Linked DNA regions of Rattus norvegicus. The protein of the gene in region 4 interacts with the protein of the main gene of each other region in a pairwise test. Links are inferred from orthologs where the notes say so. Each region holds a gene or a part of one and is shown on either strand. Other genes may lie near its edges.

Region 1 (4,080 bases), about 23 Mb from region 4:
AGAACACACATTTAGACATGTGGACAATAGAAGAAAGATGTTTCCATCTTTGGAAAAACAGTATCAATCATATAATTAGTTTTAAAAAGTATTTTTAAGTAGGACAAAAGTTTTAGAAATAGGGAGAAGATTCTTTGTGAAGCCTCACTTTACATGTTTTCATTCACATTTCACAACCTTCAATATCTAATAATCGTACAGAAATTTAGCCTAAATTTTAATACAACAAAAATAAATACTTTCAACAATTTCTTCATACTCATTGATAGGTATACTGTGCTGGTCCTCAAAGAAACATTTCATTTATCGTCTTCTAATTAAAACACAAATCTGATGGGTAAATTAATTTCCATCTTCTCAAGTGGTGAAATATTAGGATCTTTAAATAGATTGTATTTCTGCATTTTCTACTGAAAACTAGAAGGCATTCTTAAGTATTTTAGGAGATTTGTCATCTCCAGAAAAATACCACATTTGCGCATGCCTCAATACTTATTGTCAACCTTTGAAAAGTTGCTCTACAATTGGAATTCCAATTTGCACCTTGTACAACTCGGAACTTCCATTCAACTTCACCTGTTTCACTGTCTCCAAACTGTATCTCTATTAGCAGGTTTCAGTGTACAGTTGGAACCGATGTCATCCAAGGCCATGTCCACACTGGGGACAGAAGAGCTAGGTACACGCAAAACTCTGAACAAGGGGACACATTTAACAGCTATTTCAACCATTAGCAACTTAAGTACATTAATGACCAGCACAAGTCTGTTTCCAGGGTGGACAAGGCCCAAATTAAGACTGCCCTCCCACCTTTAAAAAGAAAAAAGAAACAAACAAAAAAGGTATCACACACACACATTGAGATGTTTGCCCATTAAATTAGGCTAAGCAGCAGAGCATGAGCGTTACGTGAAGAGATGGATCCTTACCAGGTTGTGAGGCGGGAACGACTGTTCTGTAACCCCTACAACGGAGCCTGGCAGGAAGGAAATCACCTAAAAAAGAAACTGTCAGAGAGATTTAATAGTCACAGGTTATCATTAGGAGTTGGTTACAGTGTCACATTCATGCTTTTAGCTAAACACTTAAAAGACTTAATATTACTTTTTTTCCGCCTCTCAAATGCGTCCGGTGAAGATGTCCCACTAAGGTGTTTTACATGGTGTAAGGGTGTAGAAAGGGGTAAACGCGGATAAAGAGCAGATTACTTGACCCTACATTTTAAGAGAAGACGACGCCTTCCGAGCGCACGCCGAGCAGAACTCCACCGACACCTTATCCTTGTCCACATGGAGACACACTCCTCCCGCCGCGTCGTCCTCTTCCAGCAGCTCCTGAGGCTGCTTCCCAACCGGCAGGGCGTAGTCATGGTCACCGGCGGGCGAGTCTCTGAAGAGTGAAGTGGTCAGCCGCAGTCCCACGCCGCTCAGCCGGCTCAGCAGGCGAGCCAGTCCGGTCTCGTTGGCTAGGACAGCCCGTAGGTAGCGACTCTCCTCCTGCAGTGCTTGCACCCGTTTGCCCAGCTCCCGATTCTCGGCCCGCAGCTCCTGGTTCTCGGCTGCCAGTCCCCGGACTCGACTCTCCAGCCCCATCACATACTCCTTCTTCTTGAGCCGATTAAGTCGGGCAGCGGCCGCCGCCGCCTTCCGAGGACTCTTAGTCGTCGCTTGGTTGTTGTCGTTGGTGCCACCGCCTCCTCCCGGAGACTTTCTCCGCCTCTTTTCCCCGCCGCCGCGGTCGCTGCCGCTGCTGCAGCCTCCGATGCCATTTAACAGCCTCTGCAGCAAGTCAGAAAAGCGCTGCATCTCTGCGGCCGCGGTCTCGTCGTCGTCGTCCCCCCTCAATAGGCCACCACTATCCGAGCCTCCGCCGGACGAGGACAGGGGCCCGGGCGAGCTGAGCCCGGGCTCCAGGTGCCAGTCCGGTTGCCGAGGGTCCAGCAGATCGGCCAGCTCCAGCCCGGAGAGAAAGTCCATGTCCTCCTGCTCTTCTTTGGGGACCATAGCGATCGCGTCCTCCTCCTCCTCCTCCATCTTCAGTGGCGAGGGCGCGGGCGCGCGCACGGCCACGCTGCCGCGACTCCCCCTCCGGGCCTCCGGCTCGCCCCCGTCCCCGTGAGGTTGCTCGCGGTCAGGGGATCCGGGCCTTGACGTCTCCGTCCCCGCGGCTGCCCCAGTCGGGTCCGGGGGAGGCGCGCGCGTGGCGGGCGGCTCCTGGCTGTCGCGGCGGCTCGGGAAGTCGCGGCCCGAGGCTGCCAGCAGCTTGGTCAGGCTGTGCCTCATGAGGCTGAGCGGCGGGCCCGGGTAGGCCGCAGCCCCTGAGACCCCGGGCCCCCGCGCGCAGAGCCACAGCGCCGGGCCGACCACAGGCGCCGGGAAGGTCTGAGTGGCCTCCCGCGGCCGCCCAACCCCCCGCACGAGGCGGGGGGGAAGGCAGTGGAAGCGCGAAGCGGCGAGGCCCGAGAGGAGTCGGCCGCGCCACCCAAACAGCGGCCTGGCCGGAAGTTACTCTCTCCCCACCCCGCCCACAAAAACGCGCTTCTCTCCAGCCAGAGTGTCGCGAGATTCCGAGCGCTTTCGAGGTGCAGTAACTCCTGCTCTGCGGTGATGTCATAGGAGCCGCGGCAAAAACAATAAAACCTAGGTTTCTATCCCCCACATGCAGCGGTGCTACCCAGTACCAATCTCCGCAACCCAATACTTGAAGTCTAGACATATTTGACACACCTATATAAAAAGCTATTTTATGAGCAGTTTTATTTTTTGCTGTTTCTCTCTAGACTGCAAGAAAAACAACTATGGAAATAGTCCCTGCTAAAACAAAAGGCTAATCTTCAAATCTGAGAAACACAGTCAGGGACTAAACCCTGGGCGACATTCAGAGGTCCTTAGTCTCAGAAAATGATCATTGTTACTGCTATTATTGTTGTCATCGGACCAATTTTATTTTATCATTTATTTATTTGTTTTTGTAACAAGGGTCACTGCAGTATTAGCTGATTTGCCAGGAGTGGTTGGTTTGTTTATTGGTCTCTTGTTTTGCTGTTTTTCTTCTGCTTTTTTTCTTCTTTTGTCAAGCCACAACAGTTCCTTATCCTTATCCTTTTAAAATACCAACTTTTTGAAAAGACCAAGTCTTGAAGAAAACACTACTTCATTTTTAATAAAATTTAATTCATTTTTAATAAAATTCTGGACCCGTGGTTCTGGATTGCTCGTGCTGTTTCTCTGGTTTCATCCAGCATTTAAGAGCTGAAACGTTTACAAATGCTCTACAATTTAACGAAACACCACACCTTAGCTCCTGTTTTCCAAAAAAAAGCTAATGAAAGTACAGATGAACTAGAGAGAGAAGGGAGGTTAGTTGCTGAATAAAATTGCATGAAAGCATGCTTTAATTAAGTTCAATGTGAATTAGGATTCCTGTCAGTATGCGTTCGAGCTTGTGGGGACACACACACCCCCCAGTGCTAGCGCAGGGGTCCAGGGGATGGATGTAGCTTCTATGGGGTCTTAGGCTGGCCTCTGCTAATTAAAGAACTAAAAGCAGGAAAAACTCGAACATAATCAGCTATTAAAAATGAAACACACACACAGAGATTGGGGAGTTTAGTGTTCTTGGTGGACTGGGATCTGTCCCCCTCCTCCTCCTCCCATTTTGAATGGATGAACTTAAGCAAAGAAAGAGGAACCTACACGCCCAGCCACATCTTCAAGTAAACATTTTCAGGACCAGCTTCAACTAGGCAAGAGAAAAGGAATTACATGGCTTTGTCACAGGTAAGAGTGGTGAGGAAGAAGCCCGAGGGGGTGATCTTTATTATTTATCTGTGGCCCCTTCCCCTATGTGCCACCCATCAGGCAGCTGTCTGCTTCCTGATTCCTTACAGCACACTCCACCTGTTCGCACGGGGAAAGTGATGTCAAGACAAAACACCTGTTCCCAGAAGACAACAGAGGAAAGGGTTTATTTTTGTGCTAGATAGACCTTGGCCCAGAAACATATGATTCAGGATGCTCTGAATGACAAATTCCAACTTGGAAATAGTTTCATAAAAGCTACAGAAGAAAAGAAAGTCAT
Region 2 (4,022 bases), on a different chromosome or scaffold from region 4:
TCCCCTTAGTCCTGAGTCTCTCACCTCCCAGGTCTCTGGTACATTCTAGAGGGTCCCCCCTCCTCCTTCCTCCCGAGGTTGCCTGTTTCCATTCTTTCTGCTGGGCCTCAGGGCTTCACTCCTGTTCCCCCCCCACACACACACACACTACGGGATCATGTTCTCCCCTTCCCCTCCCCGGCCCCCGTCGCCCCCAGGTCCCTCTTACATGTGTTTGTTTTGACCATCCACCTGCCTTCACCATTCCTTTTCTTATACGGCATAGCCACCACATTCATTCCATATGTGGGATTTAATGAATGAACCTCTACACCAGTCCTTAGATTTCATTGATATTGTGTTCATTCATCCCTCCTTTGGTTTCCAAACCATTAGTTGGATCTACCCACATTTCCATCTTTTGAAAGCTGATCTGCCCTTCAGGTTAGAGCCAATAAAATGTTGAACTCTCTCCCTCTCCCTCTGGGTATTCATACAAAAAACATGAGGAGCACATTTAATTCACTTTGCAATTTCAACATTTATTTCTGATACCAAAACTTGACAACACACAAGGAAAAAAAAGTAATAGACAGAATAGCAAATAAATTTATCTTGCATGCCACTCTCAGTCAACAGGATGTGGCTCTCTAGATAGCTGTGTTTTGAAGGAATCTGAGGCTTCAGCCTCACTCAGGGAAAACTATTGCAAATGATGAGCAGTATCTGTGAACATAAGAAATGGGGGAAATAATTCAATTAGCTGTATAAGTAATAAGACCACAAACACCAAAGAGTACTCATACTCAGTACTTCCCTTTTCTCCACCATGGGCTGTACATTACTAGCTTAAGACTGTGAATACAATTCCCCCACTGAGCATATATCGATCCCCCGCAGAACCCTACCTGCTTAATTGAAAGTGATTTACTTACCTGACACTTTACTCAACCCAGAAGAAGCCAATGGCACCGAAGTTGGCGGCGAAGTTGGCGGTGGCAGTGCCGCTGGGGCCAATGATGGGGCCGGTAAAGGCCTGGGGAAACCTGGAGCGGGCATTCTGGTGGTATCTGGCCCAGAAGGTAAAGGGGATCCTGGACCAAGGATCTCCAAAATCTCCTTCCTCATCCCAGGTCAGCAGCTCAAACTCAATGTCATCCCAGCTCCAGGGCCCAGACACAGCCTCGTCTCCAATCCCCATGCGGTTTCTTGCTTCGGCCCGGGCCTCTGCCTCAGCTGCAGCAGCATCCAGAGCATCCAAGGCTTCATCTGCAGCTTCCATGAACTGTGCAGTCCAGTCACGAGGGTCTCTCTTCTGAACCTGCAATGAGAAATAAAAAACTAAACCAAACCTTATACAGTAGCCAAGATACATAATCAGTAAGAATGCAAAAAGAAAATACTGTATTATACACAATGGAATACTATCCAGCCTTTAAAAATGAAAATCCCAGTATTCATGACCATACGGGTGAAGCTGAAGGACGTTATAGTAAGCAAGACAATACAGAGACAAGTACTGTTTTTATTGACAAGTGGACAATCTAAAACTAGACTCACGGGCATAGACTAGAATGGTGGTTGCCAGGGTTAGCTTACGTGGGATGAAGAATAGGGACATATTCATCAAAGTGTATGAACTTGAGTTCGGTGTAATGATTAAGCTCTGTATCTATTATGCAGCAGAATGTCTATAAGGTAATGACTACTGTATATCTGTAAACTGCTTTTTCTTGTGTGTTACTATGTGTGTGCACATACATGTGCAAGTATGTGGAAGGACAGAAGGCAACCTTGTTTGTTGTTCCTCAGGTACTATCCTCCTTATTATCTGAGACAGTGTTTCTTAACAAGCAGGCTCCAGTGTGAGCCCATGAGCCCCTGTGAGCCCCTATTTCCACCTCCCAGCACTGGACTGCAAACACGCACCATCCCCTCCCTCCCAGCTTTTTACGCAGGTTCTGGGGACTGAACCCGATTAAGCTACCATGGATTCCGCTATTACCTCTGCAATGAATCTCAGCACTTTCATCTTGCTAGTCTCATGGTAGGAGCGGAGGCCCCAGAGGAACTCATACTCAGGAGGGTTGCTGTTGGGCACTCGTCTGTAGTCCAGGTATCTGAAGAGGAAAAAGTCTGTGTTTATGGGCAGTCTGCAACAAAATACATGCTAAATAATACTGTGCTAAAGTTGCTGCTTCAGGTTTTTATCATCTTGGACTACTACTCTTTCCTGAGAATGTGTACTATGAGAAAAGAGGACAGGCTTTACTAATAACTATGCTGTAAAAACATTCCACCTCAAAGCGTGTCTTCAGTAAACACTTCTGGATAATTCTGTGAACCTACAGGAGTGCTGTAAGTCACGTTTAAAGAACCTTTTCTGATGCAGACCAAGCAGAGCCAGAATTCTAAGGACCACTTACTTCTGCTTTACAAACTCGTAAGTAAGAAGTTTCCTCAGATCGCCAAGGAGGGGATGTCTGACCCTGATGGTGAAAAAGAAAACGACAATCAGAGATTCTGCCTGAAGAAAACTAGAGAGTTACAGACTGTCTTCCTATCTAATCTCATCATAATTTAAGACATCCCCTGCTGCTAAAGGATACTTCAGATGAAGGAGCCCAGTCGTACCCAGGACGTAGTCCCATCTTGCGCAGTGCTTCCCAGAGGACGGCTGCAATAGGAGGCAAGAAGAGAGAAGGCATGGAAAGTGAGCATGGAAATCAGACTGCAGCCAACCCCCAGCTCCAAGTCCAGTCACTCACCCTCAGTGGCACGGTTGCCATTCATGAAGATAATGCCCAGAATCACTAAGAGGAGGCCTAGCTTCGGTGTGTCTTTGGTCCTAGAGGAGTACAAAAAGAATACAGATATATACACACCCAGCAGCTGTTTACACGAAAAACCCCACAAGCTTACCAATTTAGCTTCTCCAGTATTCCTCAGTGGAGATCATTATGCCCCCACTCTGCCCATGACCTCCTATGTGACTGAATACTGAAACTCTTAGGCAAAAAGCATCACCAAGGAAGGCCATAACACATCCCCTTTCCCATCTTACGTTCCCAGTATGCCAGCCAGGGATTCAGGGGTACTGATGAGGATATACAGATGCTCTTCTTTGTCGATTTCCTTGAGCTGGATTCCAAATTTCTACAGAAGCAAGCAAATGACAGCACTTAGCATAACGTGCCAATAGGCAGGCAGTCACAGCGCTGTGAACCTTGTCCTCAACTCCAGTAGTTATCTCACACAATGGAGAATTTGACCGTCATTCTAGTTTCCCAGGTGTGGCTCTTTACCTTCTCCAGGACAAAGCATGCGCGTTCAATGATTTCTGGATAAACATCAGTGTATTCTCGGATGATATCTCTCAGCATTTCTGTAGGAGAGAAGGGAAGCACCAGGACTGAGCTGGAGCACAGTAGCAGCCCCTTGGCCAGGCCTGGTAAGGACAGCCCGGTCAGGCTCCTCAGAGGTAGAATCAGCTATGGGAGGGAGTGGACAGGACATCAGGGTCAGGAGAAGGGCCTACCTGAGCGCTTGATGGGCACCTTCGTGTAGTCTTTAAGCATCAAGTACTTGACCAGCTTATTTGCCTGGGGGGAAATAATTCAAATTAGGTTTGCAGAACACTTGGTTGATTACAAATGGAAGGACCACAGTAAACAAAGTGGAGAGGTATAGCACTTACTCTTTCCTGAAGAAGGGCCACATCTCGGGGCTGTGGAGGACCCTGGTTCTGTGAGGCACGAGAGTTGGGGGAGGATCTCAGATTAGGTGAGGGTCGTAAGTTCTGCCAGTCGGGTGGAATTGGCCAGTCGGCAGGGATCCAGTCAGGTGGAAAAGGCCAGTCAGAGGGAAAGGACCAGTCAGGAGGCATTGACCAGTCAGGTGGTAACTGCCAATCTGGAGGGCCTTGCCAATCTTGAGGGCTCTGCCAACTAGGTGGAGCCTGCCAACTGGGTGGGCTCTGCCATCCAGGTGTACTCTGCCAGGCCATTGGGTTTGGCCAGACAATTGGGCCAGGCCAGACAATG
Region 3 (4,300 bases), on a different chromosome or scaffold from region 4:
TCTTCCTGTGGCATCTCATCCCCACTTTCTTCCCTTTCCTTATAGATTCCCATTTCCCTCTTGATCTACACACACACACCCCTCCCATGGTTAGGTAGTAAAATCAGAACCCCCTACTCCCGCCTTCTCCCCGTCCCTATAAGGATGTGGAACTGTGTTCTTCTTGCTTGTCACTCCATTTCCGGGAGCCACACAGCCCAGCATCGTCTCCTTATCATTGTCACCGTGGCTTCTAAAAGGGGCTTAGAGAAGACCCCAGAGACGCCTGGCCTCTTCTTGCCCTGCACACTGCGCACACACCACTAGGCTGGCTGTTAGAGGTAGGATCACGTTAATTCCTGCAGTGATTGGAGAAGGAAATGATCCGTAATCTCCATCTCATAAGTGAGTAAAGCCAAAGCTAGCGAATTGATGGAGGAAACAATGCCAGAGTCAGGATCCAGACTCAAAGCACCTTCAAGTCTCTGCTCTGTGGGCCTCAGACTCTGGAGGAAGGAGCCGGGCCTGGGGAGGGTGGAGACGTACCAGGAGCACTTGTATTCTTTTGTTTTCTCTTGATTGGGTTTCCTGAATCTCCTCTCTCTCTTTCCTTAGACACACGAGACACTTCTGTATTTGTTCCTGGGTAGAAGGAGCATGAAATACTAAGATGAGGGGAAAGTAACTGTAAAGGAAGGTCACTCCCTTCAACCGGTGGGAGCAAAATGCCCTGGAGATGAGTGTGAACCCAGCACCTGGAGATACTCAGGGTCTTCGTTCTCATTCTGATTTTGAGGCTGGATCTCATGTAGCCCAGACTTAACTCAAACTCAGCATCCCCCTGCCTCCGTTTTCCAAACATTAGGATCAAGGACTAAGTACCACCAGAGCTGGCCTCGAGTCTTATGACTCCTGCTTCGTTCCCCAGAGATGGTGACCAGGGTTTCCCCCATTCTCATGTATCATCAAAGGTCAGGACTTTGCCTCCCTCTTTGAGCCCCCTTTTTTCAGGTTAAATTACTACTTTCTTCTGCATCACCTACGGTCTGAGCTCCACGTGTTCCTGAGTGAAAATGAAATTCTCTCACCCAGAGGGGAAAAAATGCAAACAGCGCCTCCCTTTTTATTAGAATGATAATCTAGAAATGATACAAGAAGGGACTTAGATGCAAAAATAATTGATCCACGGTTTTATAAATTGTTCTAGAGTTAGGAACAAGCAAACACACAAGTGTGTGTTTAGAAACTGAGGTACAGCTCAGTTATTAGGGTGCTTGCTTGGCAAGTAAGAAGCCCCGAGTTCAACCCCTAACCCTGTGAGTGTGGCAGCACACGCCTATAACCCCAGCGTCCAGGAGGTATATATATATATATATATATATATATTAGTCTGAGGCAAGTTGGTCTTACTATATCAAAAGAACACATTGCCACATCATACATATAAGCGCCTACTTATGAAAGAATACGGCAGAAAAGCAACTAAAACCTGCAATGGTTAATGGGTAATTAAATGAAGAATGAATGTATATGCCACCAACAGTCACCCAACTAGCTCATTTGCAACAGGAACATTCCGTGACATGCTTCAAATAGAACATGCTCAGACCACCCCTCCACAAACGAGCTGTTCGCTCTTGTAAATATACAAGCATCGTCAGTCCCTAAGATACAAACTTCAAGCACACTTAACTGATACAGGACACAGGCGCGCGCGCGCGCGCGCGCACGCACGCACACACACACACACACACACACACACACACACACACACATCTGATGGCTCATTCGTTTGGAAAGGATTTACTATGGCCCACAAGGAAACAACGTAGAGCTCTTAATTAGAACCCTGTGCTTCTTTGTGCTAGAGTACATGTCTGGGAGATTAAATAAGGCGAAAGAATTTGGAGTCAGGATACCCCATCCAGCCCAGAATCCACACCACCTTTCCCACCTTTCTACTTCCCTTAGTCCAATCCAGCTCCCCCGAGGGTCCCCCACAGCCCTTTCCTACCCTGCAGGGATCCTCTCCTACCCTGTAGGGACCTGCTGCGTCCTCCAGGAAGCGCACAGTGTGAGCCCCATGCTGTCCAGTCTCGCGGCATACCACACACAACTGTGCCTCATCCTCCTCGCAGAAGAAGTAGATTTTCTCCCCGTGTTCCGGACAGGCATCCTCCACCTCCAGGCCTCTTGTGGATGCCAGCTGAAGGCGCTCGATATTCTCCACCACATTGGCCAGCTGCCAGTTTGGCCGGAAGCTCCCTGGACGGAAGGGCTCTTTGCAGAGCGGGCAGCTGAGGGACTCTTCCGATTCTGGGCCTGGGGTCTCACAGAAGCGAGTGAGGCAGCCACGACAGAAATTGTGGCCACAGTCAATGGTGACTGGTTCCCTTAGGGTGCCTTGGCAGATGGGGCAGTTGACCTCATCTGCCAGGCTAGTCACGGAAGGAGCTGAGGCCATGTCAACCCTACTGGGCCTTCTGACTCCTGGAAGTCACCATCTCTCATCCACGTCAGTCCTGAACACTAGTACAGTCACACACACTCGGACAAGGGGCCCAGTTACATCTCTGGCACCAGAACCCCTTGTTCGACTCTCCTGGGAGCAGACACACTCCTGCCAACAGCGGAGATGTAGAAATAGCAGAGGAGGAGGGCCCAGGAGCTCACAGCATCATAAGTTCACTCTCCGGACCAGTTCCTATGGCCTGGGTCTCACTGTCTCTTTCTGTCTACCCGAAGCTGCTCACAGGAAAAAAAACATAAAAATAAGTGTGTATTCTCTCTGCAGTCCACTGTTGAAAGAGATCTTTCCTTTGGGGTCGGGGAGGAGCCTGACTCACAGAGGACTGCTGCCACCCCAGCTCTTCAACATAGCCACCTGTCTCCAGGGAGATTGGAGGTATCAGCCAGCACAAGTCCAGTGGGCACGGGAGTGTGGGGACTCAGATAAGGCTCCTGAGCTCGGGTGTGCACGGCACAAGCAACTGTGGCGATGCCTCTATGGGCCTATGAGAGGTTACTGAAGAAAAAAACATGCATGGGGAAGGAAAAATAGAGCCAGCATTTGTTTGTTTGTTTTTTTTATTATCATGACTACACATCTCCCACTGATAGAAGGAAGCACTTTAAACAGCTTATTTATTTCACCTCAGCGCTATCTCATCCTGCTGTTTGGACCTCCAGGTTCCCTCACCTCATCCAAGGGGAACCAACAGAGCACAGGAGACTGGGATCTATCGGGAAGTCAAAGCTATGGTCTTCCAGGAGATGAAGTCTACCAGAAACCCATAGCACAACCAGACACGGTGGCACATGCCTGTGATCTCAGCACTTGTTATCTGGAGATGGGAGAATCAGGAGTTCAAGACCAGCTTCCACTTTCATAGCAGCTTGGAGGCCAGCCTGAGCTATGTGAAATGTGCCTTGAGGAAAAAGGAGTCAGTGAAAGCCACAAAGGCATATATGCAATATAGACATTTCTAGTTGCCAATATGAGCTGGACCCCGGTGGAACAGAATTGTAAAGGGACATTTGAATATTGACAGTGAACTCACTAATAGGTTGCTAAAGTTCTTCCTCAAATTATATAGTTATTATTATTATCGTGTGTATGTGTGCATGTGTATATGCATGTGTATGTGTGTCCTTGTGTATGTGTGTAATGTGTGTATGCATATGTGTATATATGTGTGTGCTTGTGTATGTGTGCATGTGTATGTATGTGTGCATGTGTATGTGTGTCCTTGTGTATGTGTGCATGTGTGTATGCATGTGTATGTGTGTGCATGCATGTATATGTATGTATGCATATGTGTGTATATGTGTGTATACATGTGTGCATGTGTATGTGTGTGCATGTGTGCATATATATGTATGTGTGTATATGTGTGTATGCATATGGGTGGGTGCATGCGTATGTGTATGTGTGGGTGCTGGTATCCTGGCAAAGATGTAGAAATCAAAGGACAACTTTGTAGAGTAGATTCTCCCCTTCAATTATGTAGGTCCGGGGGATAGAACTCAGGTCTTTGGCAGCAGTTGCCGTTGTGATGAGGTATCACACTGGCCCATGCTAAACTTTTTAATGACACTGTGGTTGTATGGAGGAATTTCTCATTCTGAGGAGATATATGTTGTCGGATTTATGGAAGAGAGAGCAGATGGCCCAATAGTCAACAAAAGTCAAAAACTCACAAAGGCATTCATGCCAACATTTCTTCACAGTATCAATAAATTTGAACGTTTCTCATAATAAGGGTGAGAAAAATATTAAAAGATAAAAAGAGAGAAAATAAATATTAGTAGTATGTTTAAG
Region 4 (4,231 bases):
ATACCGACTCAGTACTGTGCTGTATCCCAGGCTGTTGGCTGGCGTTTAAAAGGCATCTTCTTGCCTTACACTTCCTCGTCCATCCAACCCGTGATGGTTAAAGAGAGTCTGTTTTAACAGGTATTATGGTCTAAGCACTGGGAGGCTGAGATTCAAGAACTCGAGCTGCCCCGCCTGCCCACATGACTTGGGCAACATTGACAACCAAGAGCTCAGAAAAGCTTTATGTTCTCCATCTTTGTCACGCATGGCTCTTAGACTACTTTGTGAGTGTCAGGGGCAGACAATCCTATCCCTATCTTGTTACTTCTACTTCCATTTTATTAAGGGGAATGAAGCTAGAGAAGCTAATACTTGGATAATACCACAGGGCTAGAACCAGGACCCCAAAGCTGGTAACAAGTAACAACTTGCTGAAACTGTGCATCATACTGGCTTGCTCCGACCACAATCTAGAGCTGTAGGAAGCAAAGACTCTCCTTTGAAATCCACAGAAGGCATGTTATAAGTATCAATTCTTGTGAGCAGGTGGGGCAACACCTTCAACAGATTGAAACACATTTTTTCACTTTGCAATGGAAGGGAGGTAGAGAAAGAATGTTTGAAATAATTTAACATGTCAAAAATATTTGTTATTTTTGGGCCTGTGAGTCTAAGGTTAAACTTTGAAATAGGTTTCTCACTTTTGTTTTTAGGATTAAAATAAAACGGTTTGTTTCATGCTGCCTTGTAGCTGTCTTTGGCTACTTTGTGGGTTCTTTGTTCCTTCTGCCCTTGTCCACCTTTTCTTTTTTAAGAATTATTTATTTATGCATATGAGTACACTGTAATTGTCTTTAACACACTAGAAGAGGGCATCAAATCCTATTACAGATGGTTGTGAACCACCATGTGGTTGCTGGGAATTGAACTCAGGACCTCTGGAAGAGCAGTCAATGCTCTTGACCTCTGAGCCATCTCTCCAAACCCCTTCTCTACCTTTCAACTCCCTAACACTATACAGGGGAGAAAAAAGAATAGAGGGAAAGGGGGTGACTTTATCATTAGACTTTTTCCTGCTGATTAGAGGCATGGAGTTCCTTGGGGCAAGTTAGATCTTCACCGTCAGGATACCTATTTTTTTCTTATTTCTTCTTTGTGCACGACTATTTAACCAACGTCGACCAAGTAACACCCCACCCCTTGGGGCCCTAGGATTTATACACTCTCTCAGAAGTCTCCAGAATTCTAAGTCACACAATCACAGACACTATCTGCAGCTGGCAAAATCACGCTCCTGAATGAGGCGAATCATAGTCAGCTGCTGTGGACAATCTGAAGCAGCCCCTGTCCCACACCTGGGATGAGAACAGTCACACAGTCCTTCTTCTGTGTTTTTCAAGAAACAAAAATTCTCACTACAGTGCCTCTTAATATTGTATCCCAAATACATAACACACACACATATCCAATACAGAGCATCCATAGGTTGTACCTAACATGGATTTCTTTTTACTAAAATATTTTTTGTCAAAAGTGAGCCATTATTTTAAGATTAGAAGGCTCTCAAACAACTAAAATCAAAGCTACCTTATGATCCAGCTACACAACTCCTAGGCAGGCTTATATCCAAAAAGCCCTACATTCTACTCCAGAAGTGGTTGGACACCCACGATTACTATCACTCTATTCAAATTGGCAAGGACGGTAAAGGGAATCGGCCTACATGTTATCAAAAGGGGAACAGATAATCAACATTTAGTACACATACACGCTGGAATTTTATTCATCCACTAACAAAACCGAAACTATGAGTGAGACGTTCGGGAAAACGGAAAGAACTGGAAAATATATTAACTGGGGTAACCTAGGATCGTTGACTGAGGATCCCAGCTTTGAACTGTTAAATATCTACATCTAGAAGGAAGTGGGCAAAACTGGGGAGTGGGGAAGAATCTCTGAGGCAAAGAGGAGGGGAGGGTAATAGAACTTATGTGATACGAAAGTAGAAACGGGGGTGGGGGGGTGGGGGGAAGTGAGAGGGTACCCGGTGGGGGAGGGAGATCAACCAAACATGGGTTTGTGAGGAAACCTGTTACTTCATAAGCTAACGGAAACAAGCAGGCAAACTGGAGTTTCACATAAAGATCTAGATTCCTGGGGTTTCTGCCTTTGAAACCTCAGAACACCTATCAGCTTTAGGGCAATTGTCAGGCAGGGTGGACGGTCAGCCTTCCCAGCAAGCAGGGAGCTGGCGACCTCTCCGGAGACTGCTCTCCGGGCTCCACTGGCACCAGGGCACAGCAGTGTAGTCACCGGTGCGGTAGTTTTTCTTCCTAAGAGTAGATTTCTGTATTTGTCTCTCTTCCCTAGTGAGACGGATGGAGTAGGCAGAGGGACGGGATTTTCCTGACCCGGGCCACCCATTGCCAAAGTTTCACCTAAGGCATGGTTGGCTATAGGACGCTGCTACTTCACACCCCATTTGCCACATGCCAATAGCAGTGGCGGGTCTTCTGATCTCGGAGATGCTTAACTGCCAAAGGAGATGTGTGTTTCTGAAGGGTGCAACACTACCTGTCTGACTTCTGAAAGGATTTGAATCAGTGACCTTGCTTTAGATTCACACTTTCAGCGCGCGACTGCGCCCTATAGGAACACCTTTCCTTTAAAGACCTCGGCTTCAGTTCACTTACTTGGAGCTACACGCTTATCATCGGCTGCCTTTCTTTTCTTTGTAACAGCCATAGCTGTGGCTCAGAATTTCACTAGAAATCAGCCCAAGGCCCCATACACCACCTTCCCCTTCGCAGCTTCAAAGGCCTCTCTCAGTCTGTACTCACAACTGCCAGTCAGACTCACCTAATCAATGGATGCTATTCCTTCTTCCAGACCTGCCTAGTAGAGTGCAGAAACACATGATAGGCCTTGGATCATAGTGAGAAGAGGTCTCAAGTGGAAGGAAGACTGGGGTGATGTTTCAAACATTTAATAGCTGGAAGATCAAAGGATCCATTCACCTGCTTAGGGGGCAACCATTCAAGAGCAGGGACCTGAAAGTCCCCAGGGTTCCAGCTCGTAGCTTTTTTGGTTGACTCATGGGAAGGTGTAGCAGGCCTAAGGGAAAAGTGTAGACACTCTCAGGTCAATGGCTCTTAGGAAATAATTATTATGATGGTGTCAGAGTATATTAGCTAAGTAGCCTGGCCCAGATAAAGATAGGGCATTGGGAAATAACACAGAAAAACAGGGAGGACAGAGGCTCAGCAAAATGTAATTAAATCCACAATAACTCCAGAAACTGAACTAAGAATTTAAATCATTTACAAACTTGGGTTTCAGGTCCAGAGCATCTCCAGTGGTGAAGTCTACCAAGACATAAAAAAAAAAAAAAAAAAAAAAAAAGGAAGAAAAATCAGCTCTACAAACTGCAGAAAGCACAGATGAGAGCCGTCGGAAATGCAACACATGAAACCAGTCAGACACACGAGACAGGGCAAATCATTATCTTTCTGAAAGTGTATATTAAACTCAGATATAGCGACGTAGAGACAAGGCTATATAGTGCAGCCTCAAAGGTCTATTAAAAGAATGGGAAGTTGGGTTGACATATGAGTTATGCACTAGAGTCACAGAGAAGAAAACCACCTCGTCTTGATAGGTGCAGGGAAGATGTTTCTTCCTCTTTCTACTAATTTTTCTTTTATTTTTTTTTAAATGTGTGTGTGCACGTATTTGGTGTCTCCACCTTAATCTTTGAGACAGGATCTCTTCAGACTTGATTGGCTGGACCAGTTGACTGATGAGCTTGATCATGCAAAGAACTACCATGGCCCAGCTTCCCTGTGGGTACTGGGAATCCAAACTGGGGTGCTCGTGTTTACACAGAAAGCATGTTACCAACTGAGTAATCTCTCTCAGTCTCTCTGCCCCGCCGTCAATCCATCTTATTATGGAGCCCAGTCTGGCCTTATCAGTTCTCAAGCCTGTGTCTCCCAAGTACCTAGAAATCGAGCATCTGCCATCAGACCCAACAAGCTAACAGTGACTGTCTTGAATGCTTTCCTCTTGTGACAGGGAACAAGAAGAGGAGGTCCTCTCTCAACACCCGTATTCAAGCTTGTGTTCCAATCAGAGTAAGTAGGCAAGAAGAATAAAAGCATAAGGGCCGAAAAGGAAGAAAGAAAACTTTTATTATGGCATGATCCTGTAAGTAGAATCCTAGGGAATCCTGGGACAACAGATATTAAAA
Region 5 (3,500 bases), on a different chromosome or scaffold from region 4:
CTAGGCGCCTGACTCGACCCCATACACCTCCACAGAAGTCCACATTAGCACTCCTTTTCTCAGTAGGCCCTCATGGCCTCCATACTGCACTCTAATCCCAAGCAGGGCAGTTGATGACCTGAGTGAGCTGCATGTCAGGGGCCCATGTGTGCTGACAGTCACCATTATCATCCTGACTAGAGACAGAGGTTGCCATTGTCTGCACATGGTCTCTGGCCATCATACTTAGATATACTGGACACTTACTTTGTCCGGATTCACTGTTTCCAGGGATGTGTGCCCATCCCCATCCAGAGGGTGGGAAGTGACTGGGGGCAAGGGGCTAAGTGAGTCCTGCACAGTAGAGAGTCGGAATCTGTCCAGCAGTGAATAGAGCCTTTGGTGTCTGAAATACAAACAAAACCAGAGTAAAATAAACCAGAGTTTATTCTTTAGTCTGAAACTCAATTTGTACACAGGTGAGTTCTAGAAACATGTAATACCAACAAGCAGAAGCAGCTTCTTAACAAGGTGCACATGCTTGACCTTTCCCTTCAACATCCTAAAGTCACGACACACACTTAGACCCTACTTACTTTTAATTACCACAATTTATACCTCACTGATATTTTGCAGAAGTTTCATTTATGCCCAACATTCCATGAGGCAATACAATATATAACAGCTAATAAAGCTATTCTATTCTACTCTTTGTTTTCTTGGCAGTATTAGAGATGGAACCCAGGGACTTGTGCATGCTAGACAAGTGCTCTATCACTGAATTACACATTCCTAGCCATCATATTTGTAATATATACAAAACAGATAGATTCTTCTACGATCCAAGCGCACAAACTCCATTTAATGCTCCATAATGACACAATTCATTTCATTAGGAAGGGTCACTTCACAGAAAAATCATTTCATCTGGCCCAAAGATATTTATGATAATCATAATCATGATTATATCATTATATAATGATTAATAATTATATCAATATAATTTATGATGTCATAACCTTCCTCATCTAGGCCTCTGATTACATCTATTATCAAACATAATGACAATTTATTCTCTTACTATCCAAAACCAATGTGATACTATGTATGTCAAATGACAACATTGTGTGGCTTTGCAGACTGAAAAAAATTATCTAGACTATGCCCTGTCCCATTATGAAACACCCTCATAAAAACTCTAAGATTAAAGTTATGAGAGAACCACCCTCTTTTATGCACATATGCTCCCTATCCTATTAACAATGGCGGAAAAGAGGTAAAAGTTTTTCTTAGTTTATCTTGACTAAGGAACTACACTTATACTTCAGATTGAAATGTTTCTAATAAAGGTTTCTAAAAGACTTTCAAACAAATAGGCAAAAGAATTGCTATGAAGAGAGGTCACTTAACAATACACAAATACCATGTGTACATGCCAAGAGCCAAGTAGAGCTCTCATATTTATTCCTTCTAACCTAGCAATTAGGTTCTATGTTTATTCCCATTCCTAAAGGGTCCAGGAGCAGAGGCAACAAACACATTTCTTATCCCTTCAACAGTCAGAAAGTTCAGGAGCACCTCGTGTGTGCAACAGGTGTTTGATTGCTACTTCTTCATGTCTACTACAGTGAGACTTTCATGTGACAGTTAGACAGCCAGCTCTACTGTGGCACTGCTGCAGTAAACTCACTCTACACTAACTCCTTTGCCTGCCTCTTTGTTCCTGTACATATCTATGTGTTAATACCCAAATGCCTGTACCCCATGCTACAGTCTTACCTTTGTGCAAGCCCAGTGTTCTGGAGGTGTTCCTGGATTCTGTTCAGTTCCTCCTCTGGCAACTGGGCCATGCTGCTCTACACAGACAAGAATACATCAGGGCTTTTGTGATATGCACTTAAATAGGATAAAGTGCTACGCACAGTGTCCTAGTAAGAGACATTGGTCAGACACACAAATAACAAACATTGCACACATGCTCTTGTCAGTGGCTAATCAAGACCAGGTCAGCAGACCAAATGTTTTGACTGACTTTCTAAGTTTTGATATAAATCACCATTTCTCAGTACCTGTAAATTTGCAGCCAAAAGCATTTCTACTCGGCGACAGGCCAGGGTGTCGACCATGCGAGCCAGCGCACGGAAAGGGGTGCCCAGTAGCCTGTCCACATACAGTGTGAGCACAGCACCAGACTGGCTGAGATGGATGCCTTCCAAGCACTGAAGTGTTTTCTTCAGAGTGGTTGGCTAATGTTGAGAAGGAACAAAATTTATTATTCCTCAGACTTGTAACTGGTACTGACAAAATCCCAGTAAGTTGGACAAAGCAAACTGGCAGGCTAAAGACTTACAGTTGAAAGATTTTCACAGCGAGACTGAATTGCCTGGATAAAAAGACCACTAGCTGCAGAATTACGATGAATGGCACTAATAAAGTCTTGAACTGGAGGCTCGTGGGACAAGCTGATCAGATCTTGAATGTGATTCACAATGAGCCATGTTAAGTGTTCTGAGTCATGGAGATTCTGACACTAGAAAAGATATAATAAAAGATACATTTCAAGTAGACAAGAAGGCTCCAAAGAAAAACACACTCCAAATACAAATTTTGCCTTGGTGAAGACAAGTGTCTGAGTACAAGTAAATGAGAGAAAGGAAGGAAACTTATAGAGCCTCACACCTCGATCACATGTGGTAGAGGCCACAGGAAGCCAAGAACTGAGGGCAATGTCAGCTCCCAGAGACACTAGCAAATGCCTCAATATCAGAGAATTGGCTCCTTGGACACGCCAAGAGGTAGCTGCCCACAGGAGCAAGGTGAGCAGTCTGGTGTAGCCCTCCCTAGTGACTGGCCTGGAGTTTGCATGCATGGAAACAAAGGAAGCCCCATGTTGGAATAGAACTTGCCACCAGATTGCAGGCCAGCCTAGCATGGGCTGCTTTACTTACTCTGTCTGTAATGCTCAGTGGCTAAAACAGACAATAAATGCCACAGATTTGATAGAGTTCCTGAATCAAAAAACACAGCTGCCCAATACATGGGAAAATGTCACTTAAGGTTTTTTTGTTTGTTAATAAGAAAAATAAATAACAACCATAGTTAAAAATACAGGTAACCTGCTGGGAGGTGGTGATGCACATCTTAGTCCCAGCCCCTGGGAGGCAGAGGCAGGCAGACCTCTACAAGTTTCAGGGTATGAGGTTAGCCTGGTCTACAGAGTGAATTCCAAGACAGCCAAGGCTATAAAGAGAAACGCTATCTTGAAAAAAATAAAAATTGACCAAACAAACAAACAAAATATGCAACCTTTCCATTTGTAGGATTAGTTCATAATCCTAGACAGAAGCCAAAGCCTGATCGAATCTTTGACATCTGGTTAATGCTAATATTTTTCACTTGCAACTATTTGGATAGTATTAAATTATAAAATTATTCTTTCTTTGTAAAAAACACCACTATACCACATTTCTCAAAAATGGAACAAAATATAAAAATGACTTCAATATTGGGAGTGTCAAGTA
Region 6 (3,500 bases), on a different chromosome or scaffold from region 4:
CTGTTGGTAGGCGGCAGCGTACTGCTGCAGGTGGGACAGGCACTGGTCTCGCTGCTCCTGCAGACCCTGTGCTTCTTGGCTCTTCAGCTCCACCTGCAGGAAGGCTAGGGCTGAGGGCAGGCAGTGCTGGCTGCCACGGCCTGAGCGCCTGCCTTTGTACCCAGCCTCACATAGTCACCTTTCTCACTCCTTTAGGCCCCAAGAGTGGAAAAGCAGATGGAACTAACCCATTCTGTTCTGCACAAACCTACTAGTACCCGTTATTTTATGCACATTTTCTCATTAAACCTTTAACACCTCTATGAGAAAACTCATCTTTTAACTTCAGTGACTAGGTTTGGAGATGGGAAGCACTTGAACACATGGGTGTGAATCCAGCCTGAACCCAGAGCCCTGCATAAAAGGACAACGACTATAAAAGGGCAGCTCCTGGATAGAGAGCAGTCCAGGGATACCTGTTCCAGGCTGTGGCTAATCTGTGATGGGCCTTGCACCCACCCTCCCCAGGTCTGGTGGCCAACACCACATGTAGTAGGCCTTACCGTCTCCTTCAGCTCTCCCAGCCTCTCCTGAAGCTCTCCCAGCTTCCTGGCCAGCTCTTTCTTGACATGCTGCTCTGATTGTAACGCACTGGTAATCTCCATGTTCTCATTTGTCTGGACAGAAAGCAACAGTCAGTAGGACCTAATGTGGCTGGAGTCCCCAGAATTGCATGTGTACTCCCTCTCAGAGTAGGGAAGGCTGCTGGATCATTCCCACACACCCTAGGGCTCGGGATTGTGGGGTGCCTTCACCACTACCACCTAACGTGAGGCGGACAGCACCCCATCCTCTGCCGGTGCTGACCAAAAGGGGTGAGTGTGTTCCCTGTAAGCAAGGAGGGCCTGCAGGCTCCGCACCAGCCTGACGAAGCCGTTCTGCAGCTCAGCCAGCTGCTCCTTGAGCTCGCGATTCTGTGACAGCGCTCTGCTGATGGTGGTGCGGTCACTCTGCATGCTCTCCAGGATCTGCTTGCGCTCCTCTGCCTGCTCGCTCCAGTGCTGGGCCTCGCGCTCCAGCTCCAGCAGCCGTCCCTCCTGCTCCCGGTTCAGGTGGCTCAGGCTCTCATTGTCCTGCACCTGGGCCCGCAGCTGACCCGTCAGACCCTCCAGTTCCTTCTGCAGCTGCTCAACCTCTCCCTGCAGCCGCTCTTCGGCCTCTGAAGGCCCAGTTGGAGGCTCTGGAGGTGGTGGCTCCTCTGAGAAAGGAAGCAGGCACTGTGAGTCAGGCTCCCTGCCCTAAGCCTTGGCTTCTTTTCTGTCAGGGTCTCAGATGAGGCAAGTGTTTCAAGCCACTCTAGCACAGATCTGGGATGCTCAGTCACCTGCTGAGGTGTAGTAGTAGGCATGCCACCCTGTTTTGCACAGAAAGGCACATGCTCAGAGAGATGACAAGGCTTGTCACCTCGTCCTGGCAGAGACCCTTTGCCCCCATTACAATGCCCTTACACCCACCTGCCCCCCTGGGCAATGGAAGCCACCTTCATGGCTCCTCGACCCACTCCTGCTCTCAGGTCACCCTTGCCCTACTCACCCATCTGACTCCTGAGTTCAGCCAAGCTGGCCTCCAGCTCTTGTACCTGACTTTCTCTCTGCTCCTTCTCTTCCTTCAGTGCGTGCACCTGCCCAAGGCACAGGGTGGGGGTGCTGGAGATCCCAGGCCCACCCATCCCCAGTCCCACCTCTGCAAAACTGAAGCCCCTAAGCCCTCAGCTCCACGACACTGATGCCCAGGAAGAGCGAAGACTCCAGAGGCCAGGCCTCACCTGCTCTGCCATCTGCTGTACCCTCTGCTGCCACATGGCACTCTCTCCTTTCAGGTTCTCTGCGTACTGGTCTCTCTCCACCTGGAGCTGTTTCAGTGACTCCATCAGCTGCATCAGTCAATATACGAGTTATGAAGGGCTGTCACAGGTCCTCACCAAGGGCCATTGCGGGGGGAGGGGGGATCATGCCCTTCCCCTCCCCCCACAGATCCTCACCTGGCCAACATGGCTCTCCAGCTGAGCCCGCTCCTCCATGGCCTGTTGCAACTGCTCATTACTGCCAGAAGCCTCAGATTGGCTAGAGAACTGCATGAGGGAAAGGAGGGCTTAGATCTGGGAGCCTATGCTGTTCTGCTGAAGTGCTCCCCACAAGAGTGTGAGCTAGGATGACAACCCAGGGTCATTGCCATAGGAGAAAGTGTCAGGAAAAGCTAAGCAGACTCCTGTTGGGCCATTTAAATGAAACAGAACGCTGGCATTTCAGCAGGCCTAGTGGCTCATGCCTACAACCTCCCACTTGGAAGGCTACGGTAGGAGGATTACCATGAGTTCAAGGCTTACCTGGTAAGTTACAGGTCACCCTGGGCTACTGATAAGACTGTCTCAACAATAATATAAATAAATAAAGTAAGGATCCAACAGCCACATCACCCTCACTAAGACTCTGATTCACAGGTGTGGCGGGGGCTCCACTGAGCAATTAGTAAACAGCATCAGCACAGGACAGGAGGAGGTTCCAAACTGTCCATACTTGGCCGCAGGTCACCCCCAAGGAGCCACAGACTTTGTGCCTGGGCCTTAGGGGTGAGGGCTGCACTTCTCACCTGTTGCAGCAGCAGCTCTGACATCTCTAACTTCTTCTGCAGCTCCTCTGCCCCCAACTGTGCAGCTGCTTTCTCTGCCACCAGGACTCGAAGTTTCTCTTCCAGTTCTGAGTTCTGCTGCCTCAGGTCCTCATTACTTTTGCTGGGGCCAGTGGCAAGGTGGAAAGGAAGGAATCAAGAACAGAAAGGAGCCCATTTCAGAGTGATGTGTGAGTCCTGCCACAGCACCACAGGACAGAGCACTGAGTCACAAGCGACAGGCCTCAGAGACTGAGTTACCTGGGACCACACCATGAGTCAGGAGCATGGCTGGGACCAGAGCTCAGCTCTACACAAACCCAAGCCTGTCTGGGCTGAGTCTCCACTCTCCACACTGAGGCTGCAGAGAGCCCAGCCGCCTTCCCATTCTTACCCATTCTTGTATAGCTCCAGCTTGAGGGCGTCTCGCTCTTTGGTTAGGTCCTTGTTGTACTGCAGACAGAGAAAGCAGAGTTTGGACATGAAAGGCTGAAGCAGCCGCTGGCACAACACCAACGGCCTGGTGATATTCTCCAGTGACAATTCCTCTTCCTAATCACACTTGGCATTTTCCCAAGGCATTTCTACATTTCTGTCTCCTTTGTGATTCTGTCCGTTTGTTTTGTTTTTAAGATGGGGTGACACTATGTTATCTAAGATGGCTTCAACCTCCTGGGCTGAGAGGGCTCAGCCTCTCCAGTAGCTGGGACCAGAGGTCACAGTCTTCAGGGTTGCTTTGTTCTACTTATTTATACGGAGTGGTGTTCTGTCTACATATGTCTGTGCTCCACAAGCGTGAGTTACAGACAGTTGTGAAGCACCACGTGGCTACTGGGAATCGAACACTCTTCTGA
Region 7 (4,111 bases), about 120 Mb from region 4:
CTCCTCACTGCTTTGAAGGTTATGCTCATAGCCTTGGGGGTGTCACATCATGAGTCTTTACCCTCTTCCTCCCCAACAGGAATTGTCCCTAGGCCCTGGGTATTCAGCCACACCGCCCCAGGACTGCCACTGGCCGCACCTGACACACGGCGGCCTCACTCTCATCCACACTGTCCCGCAGCTGCTGCAGCTCTGCCTCTCGGTCTCGAAGCTTCCCTTCCAGGACACAGTGTAGCAAGGCCTCATCCGAAGGGGGTGGAGGTGGTGGAGGGGGTGGGGAGCGGTCTCCACCCGAACTGCTGCCAGGGGAGGCCCGGGCCCCACTGCCCAAGAGCCCCCCAGCTACACGAGCCCCCAAGGAACCTGTGCTTTTGCTGGAGGAGGACCGGCCACTGTCTGAATGGGAGGGCCCAGTAGGGACCCCTCGGGCTGGACCAGGCAGTGGCCCTCGGCCAGGGCCGTGGGAGGGCAGGTGCCCACCTGGGGAGTTGGCAGTTGGCTCGGCACCTCCGGTGCTGTAGGTGGGCAAGCTTGATAAAGAATTTCGGCCAGAGTCTGACAGTGTTCCTGAAGGGCAGCCACTGGCCCAACCGCTGAGTGCCAAGGGTTTGTCAGTAGCAGAGGAGGAAGAGGAAGAGGAGGAGGAAGAGGCTGGCCCCCCAAACAGCTGTGTCAGGCTGCCCTGGCTCCCAGATAGCCCAGCAGCTCGAGGACCAAGGAAGCCAGGTAGGGATGGCGCCCCTCGAGGTTTGGGTAGCACTGGCTTGAAGGCTGTTGGTCGGATCAGGATCTTCTCCATATTCTGAAATGAGGTAGCATGTGACACTGTGAGGATGATCTGCCCGACCCCTTTCTTTTTAAAAAATTTAGTATTGTTGTGAGACAGGGTTTTACTCTATTGGCCTGGGTCCACTCACTATGTATCCCCTTGAACACAAGCCCTTCAAGATTACAGGTGTGTGATACCAAGCCCACTTTGCTTACTTGATCTTTCAAAACACACACACACACACACACACACACACAGAGGGGGGTGCATATGTATGAGTATGGATACGTGGTGCCTATGTGTGAAGATCAAATGTCAAAGTGTCAAAGTTAGGAGCTTTCCTCAATCACTTCCCACCTAAGTTTTTACACAATCTCTGGACCTGGATTTCATCAATCCAGCTAGTCTTGACTGGCTAGCAAGCCCCAGGGATCTGCCTGTCTCTGCCTGACAAGTGCTGAGATTCCAGTCCTTTGCCACAACGGCCACCTTTTTATATGGGTACTGGATCTGAACTTAGGAACGTGTATGAGTACACTGTCACTGTCTTCAGACACACCAGAAGAGGGCATCGGATCCCATTACAGATGGTTGTGAGCTACCATGTGGTTGCTAGGATTTGAACTCAGGACCTCTGGAAGAGCAGTCAGTGCTCTTAACCTCTGAGCCATCTCTCTGGCCCACCTTGATCTTACAAAATCATCATACTACTTGGCTTTCCCATACAGGGTTCTCACCCCTATAAATGAAAAACAATGGTTCCCACCGTTTCTTTCTTTCTTTCTTTCTCTCTCTCTCTCTCTCTCTCTCTTTCTTTTTGGAGCTGGGGACCAAACCCAGGGCCTTGTGCTTGCTAGGCAAGTGCTCTACCACTGAGCTAAATCCCCAACCCCGGCGGCACCGTTTCTAAACGTCTACTTATGTTAAGTAATTCAAAATGCTTATTTTTAATCATGATAATAGCCACGCAAGCAAAACATTATCCTCCTCTCCTACTAAAAACAGGATAGAGTCAGTCCCAGAATAAAGGTAAACAAAGGCTTCGCCCAAACACACACACGCACGCGCACGCACACACACACACACACACACACACACACACACACACACACAACACCACACCATACCACACCACACACCTCTATAATAACTAAAGCAACTTGGCTGGAAGTGGTAACAAATGCCTTTAATCCCAGTACTTGGGAGGCAGAAGCAAGCAGATCTCTGTGAGTTCAAGGCCAGCCTGGTCTACATAGTGAGTTCCAAGACAGTCAAGCTACAGAGAAAAACCCTGTCTCAAACACCAAAAGAGAGAGAGAGAGAGAGAGAGAGAGAGAGAGAGAGAGAGAGAGAGAGAGAAACACGAACTACTATATTGTTCATTTGGGAGTATTAATTCTAACAGGAGCCTATAAAGATTATCCTCTAACCTTAACTGTAAAGACACAGAAAATGGGGCTCAGACAGGTTATCTCCCTGAGCCAGAAAGAGAGATAAGACAGAGTCCATGCCTCCAAATTCTAGCTTCCCCAGCGGGGAGCTCGACCCCACCCAGATCCTCCCAAGAGGGCTGCCCGTTACCTTCTCCAGCCTTCCAGAGACAGGGATGAGCTTTGGTGGGGGCCCACGGAGGTGGGCATTGTGTGCCTGATGTTCTCGGGGATCTTCGACATCACTGCTTGGGCTGGGAGGTGACTCTGTCCGGAAGTCCTCATTGACATAGGTAAAGCTGTTGCCTGGGACAGTCTTCCTGGGTGGCACAGCTGGGCAGAGTGGTTCCTGGGCCTCATAGCCACCCCGGAGCAGCCCATCCTGCTGGCGGAAGAAGGTAGGCCCAGGGACACCATGGTGGCGTTGAGGAGCAGGTCCCCCAGGACAGGGCCGGCCTGAGATAAGACTGCTCACGCTGCCCATTGCTGGAGTTTGTGGGGCAGTGGCTGTCTCACGTGCGGGCTCCAGTGGCACTGGCAGAGTGTGCACAATGGCCATGGTGGCAGAGGTTCAGGCCTGGCCAGGGGCCTCCAGGGCAACCTGCGAGCAAGGCATTGGCGTCAGAGTCCCTGCACCTTGAGGATCCTCCCCCTATTAGCCTTCTCCTGACCCCCTCTTCCAGATAGAACATTCCCCATATAGTGAAACAGCTTCACCTCCCAAGAACTGGCAATGAACCTCAAGTCCCTCTGGGCCTCAACTCTAGTCTGGAACAAGGATAAGGAACAACTCAACCAAACAGAGATGAAAGAATGGGAGAACTAAGAGGTTATGCAGGGTTCCTTGACAGAGGAGACCCAGTTAAGCCCAAACCTGTATCCCCTATATAGCGAAGTCTCAGATTGGGCAGAGATCCCTAACTACTAGCTCCCAGTACATGTCCCTACTCTCTTGGGACAGGTGGCCTCATTCCTGGGCTATTTGGGCAGAGGACAAGTCAGGGATACAATCAGTAACTCAGATGGTAATTAGGGAACAAAGAACCAAAGCCAGGCACTGTCCAGCCTCCCACTGCTAGGCCTCAGTTTCTCCCAGACACTCAGGCGGCGTTGAGGGTGGAGCTGGCCAAACAGGAAACCTCACAGGTCTTAGGAACCCACAGATGCCCTCTGGGGTCTCCTACTTCCCAGAGGTCGATATAGGCTGTGCTTGTTTCTATGTCAACTCTTAGCTTCTGCCATCACTTGGGACTAAGGTAGCCTACACAGGCCCTGTCCCACTGTCAACCTTTATAAACCTTCCTGCTTTAGTTGATCTTCGGAATAACTCCTATGGAATTTGAGCAGGAGCCCATTACCACATCTGGTAGGATCTCAAGGAAGATGGCTCCACCCCCACCCCCCATCCTCAGTCTTGCTCCTTCCTGGGAAGGATAGCAAGCCTGCACCCGGAACTCCCTCCCAGTCCCAAGGCTGCCGATGACCAAGACTTAGGCATCTGCTGAAGTCATCATGTAGCTCAGGGGCCAAGAAGTGGACAGAGGCCTCCATGAGAGAGTGTGTATGTGTACACTTGTGGTGTGAGTACATAGACAGGACCATAAAAATGAAGAGAATCTGTGAAAACGTACATGAAAATATGCAGTATGAGTTTAGGCAGATAGTTCGTGCACACACACACACACACACACACACACACACACACACACACGAGATGTAGGGGGACATGACAAAAACAAACAGGGTTGTGCCATGCACCACAAGTGGGCCTCAAACTCAGGGATCCTCTTGCCTCAGACAGCTGGGATTCTAACCTTGTGCTCCTATGCTCAGCTGTACATGTGAATTCTTTTGTTTTGTTTGTTTGCTTTTCCAAGACAGGGTTTCTCCATGTAGCCCTGGCTGCCCTGGA

What was found.
Region 1: the proteins of Ttc23 (region 4) and Crebzf interact in binary tests that used the Homo sapiens proteins (3 or more experiments, as listed by UniProt). The two-hybrid records come from large-scale screens. The link is inferred for Rattus norvegicus from reciprocal best matches to the Homo sapiens genes TTC23 and CREBZF.
Region 2: the proteins of Ttc23 (region 4) and Maged1 interact in binary tests that used the Homo sapiens proteins (3 or more experiments, as listed by UniProt). The two-hybrid records come from large-scale screens. The link is inferred for Rattus norvegicus from reciprocal best matches to the Homo sapiens genes TTC23 and MAGED1.
Region 3: the proteins of Ttc23 (region 4) and Trim10 interact in binary tests that used the Homo sapiens proteins (3 or more experiments, as listed by UniProt). The two-hybrid records come from large-scale screens. The link is inferred for Rattus norvegicus from reciprocal best matches to the Homo sapiens genes TTC23 and TRIM10.
Region 5: the proteins of Ttc23 (region 4) and Htt interact in binary tests that used the Homo sapiens proteins (3 or more experiments, as listed by UniProt). The link is inferred for Rattus norvegicus from reciprocal best matches to the Homo sapiens genes TTC23 and HTT.
Region 6: the proteins of Ttc23 (region 4) and Golga2 interact in binary tests that used the Homo sapiens proteins (3 or more experiments, as listed by UniProt). The two-hybrid records come from large-scale screens. The link is inferred for Rattus norvegicus from reciprocal best matches to the Homo sapiens genes TTC23 and GOLGA2.
Region 7: the proteins of Ttc23 (region 4) and Lzts2 interact in binary tests that used the Homo sapiens proteins (3 or more experiments, as listed by UniProt). The two-hybrid records come from large-scale screens. The link is inferred for Rattus norvegicus from reciprocal best matches to the Homo sapiens genes TTC23 and LZTS2.

What each region holds. Positions count from the first base shown.
Region 1 is NC_086019.1:153,828,482-153,832,561, reverse strand, and holds the start of Crebzf (CREB/ATF bZIP transcription factor), read right to left. Parts: upstream 2,801-4,080; 5' UTR 2,283-2,800; coding exon 1,215-2,282; 3' UTR 1,008-1,214; coding exon of another isoform or gene 992-1,007; 3' UTR 1-991.
Region 2 is NC_086039.1:63,415,964-63,419,985, forward strand, and holds the end of Maged1 (melanoma-associated antigen D1), read right to left. Parts: coding exon 3,677-4,022; coding exon of another isoform or gene 3,646-3,676; intron 3,582-3,645; coding exon 3,518-3,581; intron 3,392-3,517; coding exon of another isoform or gene 3,365-3,391; coding exon 3,285-3,364; intron 3,136-3,284; coding exon 3,044-3,135; intron 2,828-3,043; coding exon 2,748-2,827; intron 2,657-2,747; coding exon 2,614-2,656; intron 2,469-2,613; coding exon 2,406-2,468; intron 2,100-2,405; coding exon 1,985-2,099; intron 1,301-1,984; coding exon 923-1,300; 3' UTR 915-922; intron 706-914; 3' UTR 501-705; downstream 1-500. UniProt on the Homo sapiens protein: Involved in the apoptotic response after nerve growth factor (NGF) binding in neuronal cells. Inhibits cell cycle progression, and facilitates NGFR-mediated apoptosis. May act as a regulator of the function of DLX family members.
Region 3 is NC_086038.1:1,700,670-1,704,969, forward strand, and holds the start of Trim10 (tripartite motif-containing protein 10), read right to left. Parts: upstream 2,801-4,300; 5' UTR 2,444-2,800; coding exon 2,015-2,443; coding exon of another isoform or gene 1,994-2,014; intron 622-1,993; coding exon 526-621; intron 1-525. UniProt on the Homo sapiens protein: E3 ligase that plays an essential role in the differentiation and survival of terminal erythroid cells. May directly bind to PTEN and promote its ubiquitination, resulting in its proteasomal degradation and activation of hypertrophic signaling.
Region 4 is NC_086019.1:130,664,486-130,668,716, reverse strand, and holds the start of Ttc23 (tetratricopeptide repeat protein 23), read right to left. Parts: upstream 2,801-4,231; 5' UTR 2,728-2,800; coding exon 2,676-2,727; intron 1-2,675. UniProt on the Homo sapiens protein: Participates positively in the ciliary Hedgehog (Hh) signaling.
Region 5 is NC_086032.1:80,101,169-80,104,668, forward strand, and holds part of Htt (huntingtin), read right to left. Parts: intron 2,510-3,500; coding exon 2,330-2,509; intron 2,226-2,329; coding exon 2,049-2,225; intron 1,836-2,048; coding exon 1,759-1,835; intron 386-1,758; coding exon 247-385; intron 1-246.
Region 6 is NC_086021.1:35,995,283-35,998,782, reverse strand, and holds part of Golga2 (golgin subfamily A member 2), read right to left. Parts: intron 3,100-3,500; coding exon 3,041-3,099; intron 2,771-3,040; coding exon 2,629-2,770; intron 2,111-2,628; coding exon 2,021-2,110; intron 1,913-2,020; coding exon 1,805-1,912; intron 1,661-1,804; coding exon 1,573-1,660; intron 1,238-1,572; coding exon 900-1,237; intron 657-899; coding exon 543-656; intron 94-542; coding exon 1-93. UniProt on the Homo sapiens protein: Peripheral membrane component of the cis-Golgi stack that acts as a membrane skeleton that maintains the structure of the Golgi apparatus, and as a vesicle thether that facilitates vesicle fusion to the Golgi membrane.
Region 7 is NC_086019.1:253,830,788-253,834,898, reverse strand, and holds the start of Lzts2 (leucine zipper putative tumor suppressor 2), read right to left. Parts: upstream 2,801-4,111; 5' UTR 2,759-2,800; coding exon 2,351-2,758; intron 803-2,350; coding exon 140-802; intron 1-139. UniProt on the Homo sapiens protein: Negative regulator of katanin-mediated microtubule severing and release from the centrosome. Required for central spindle formation and the completion of cytokinesis.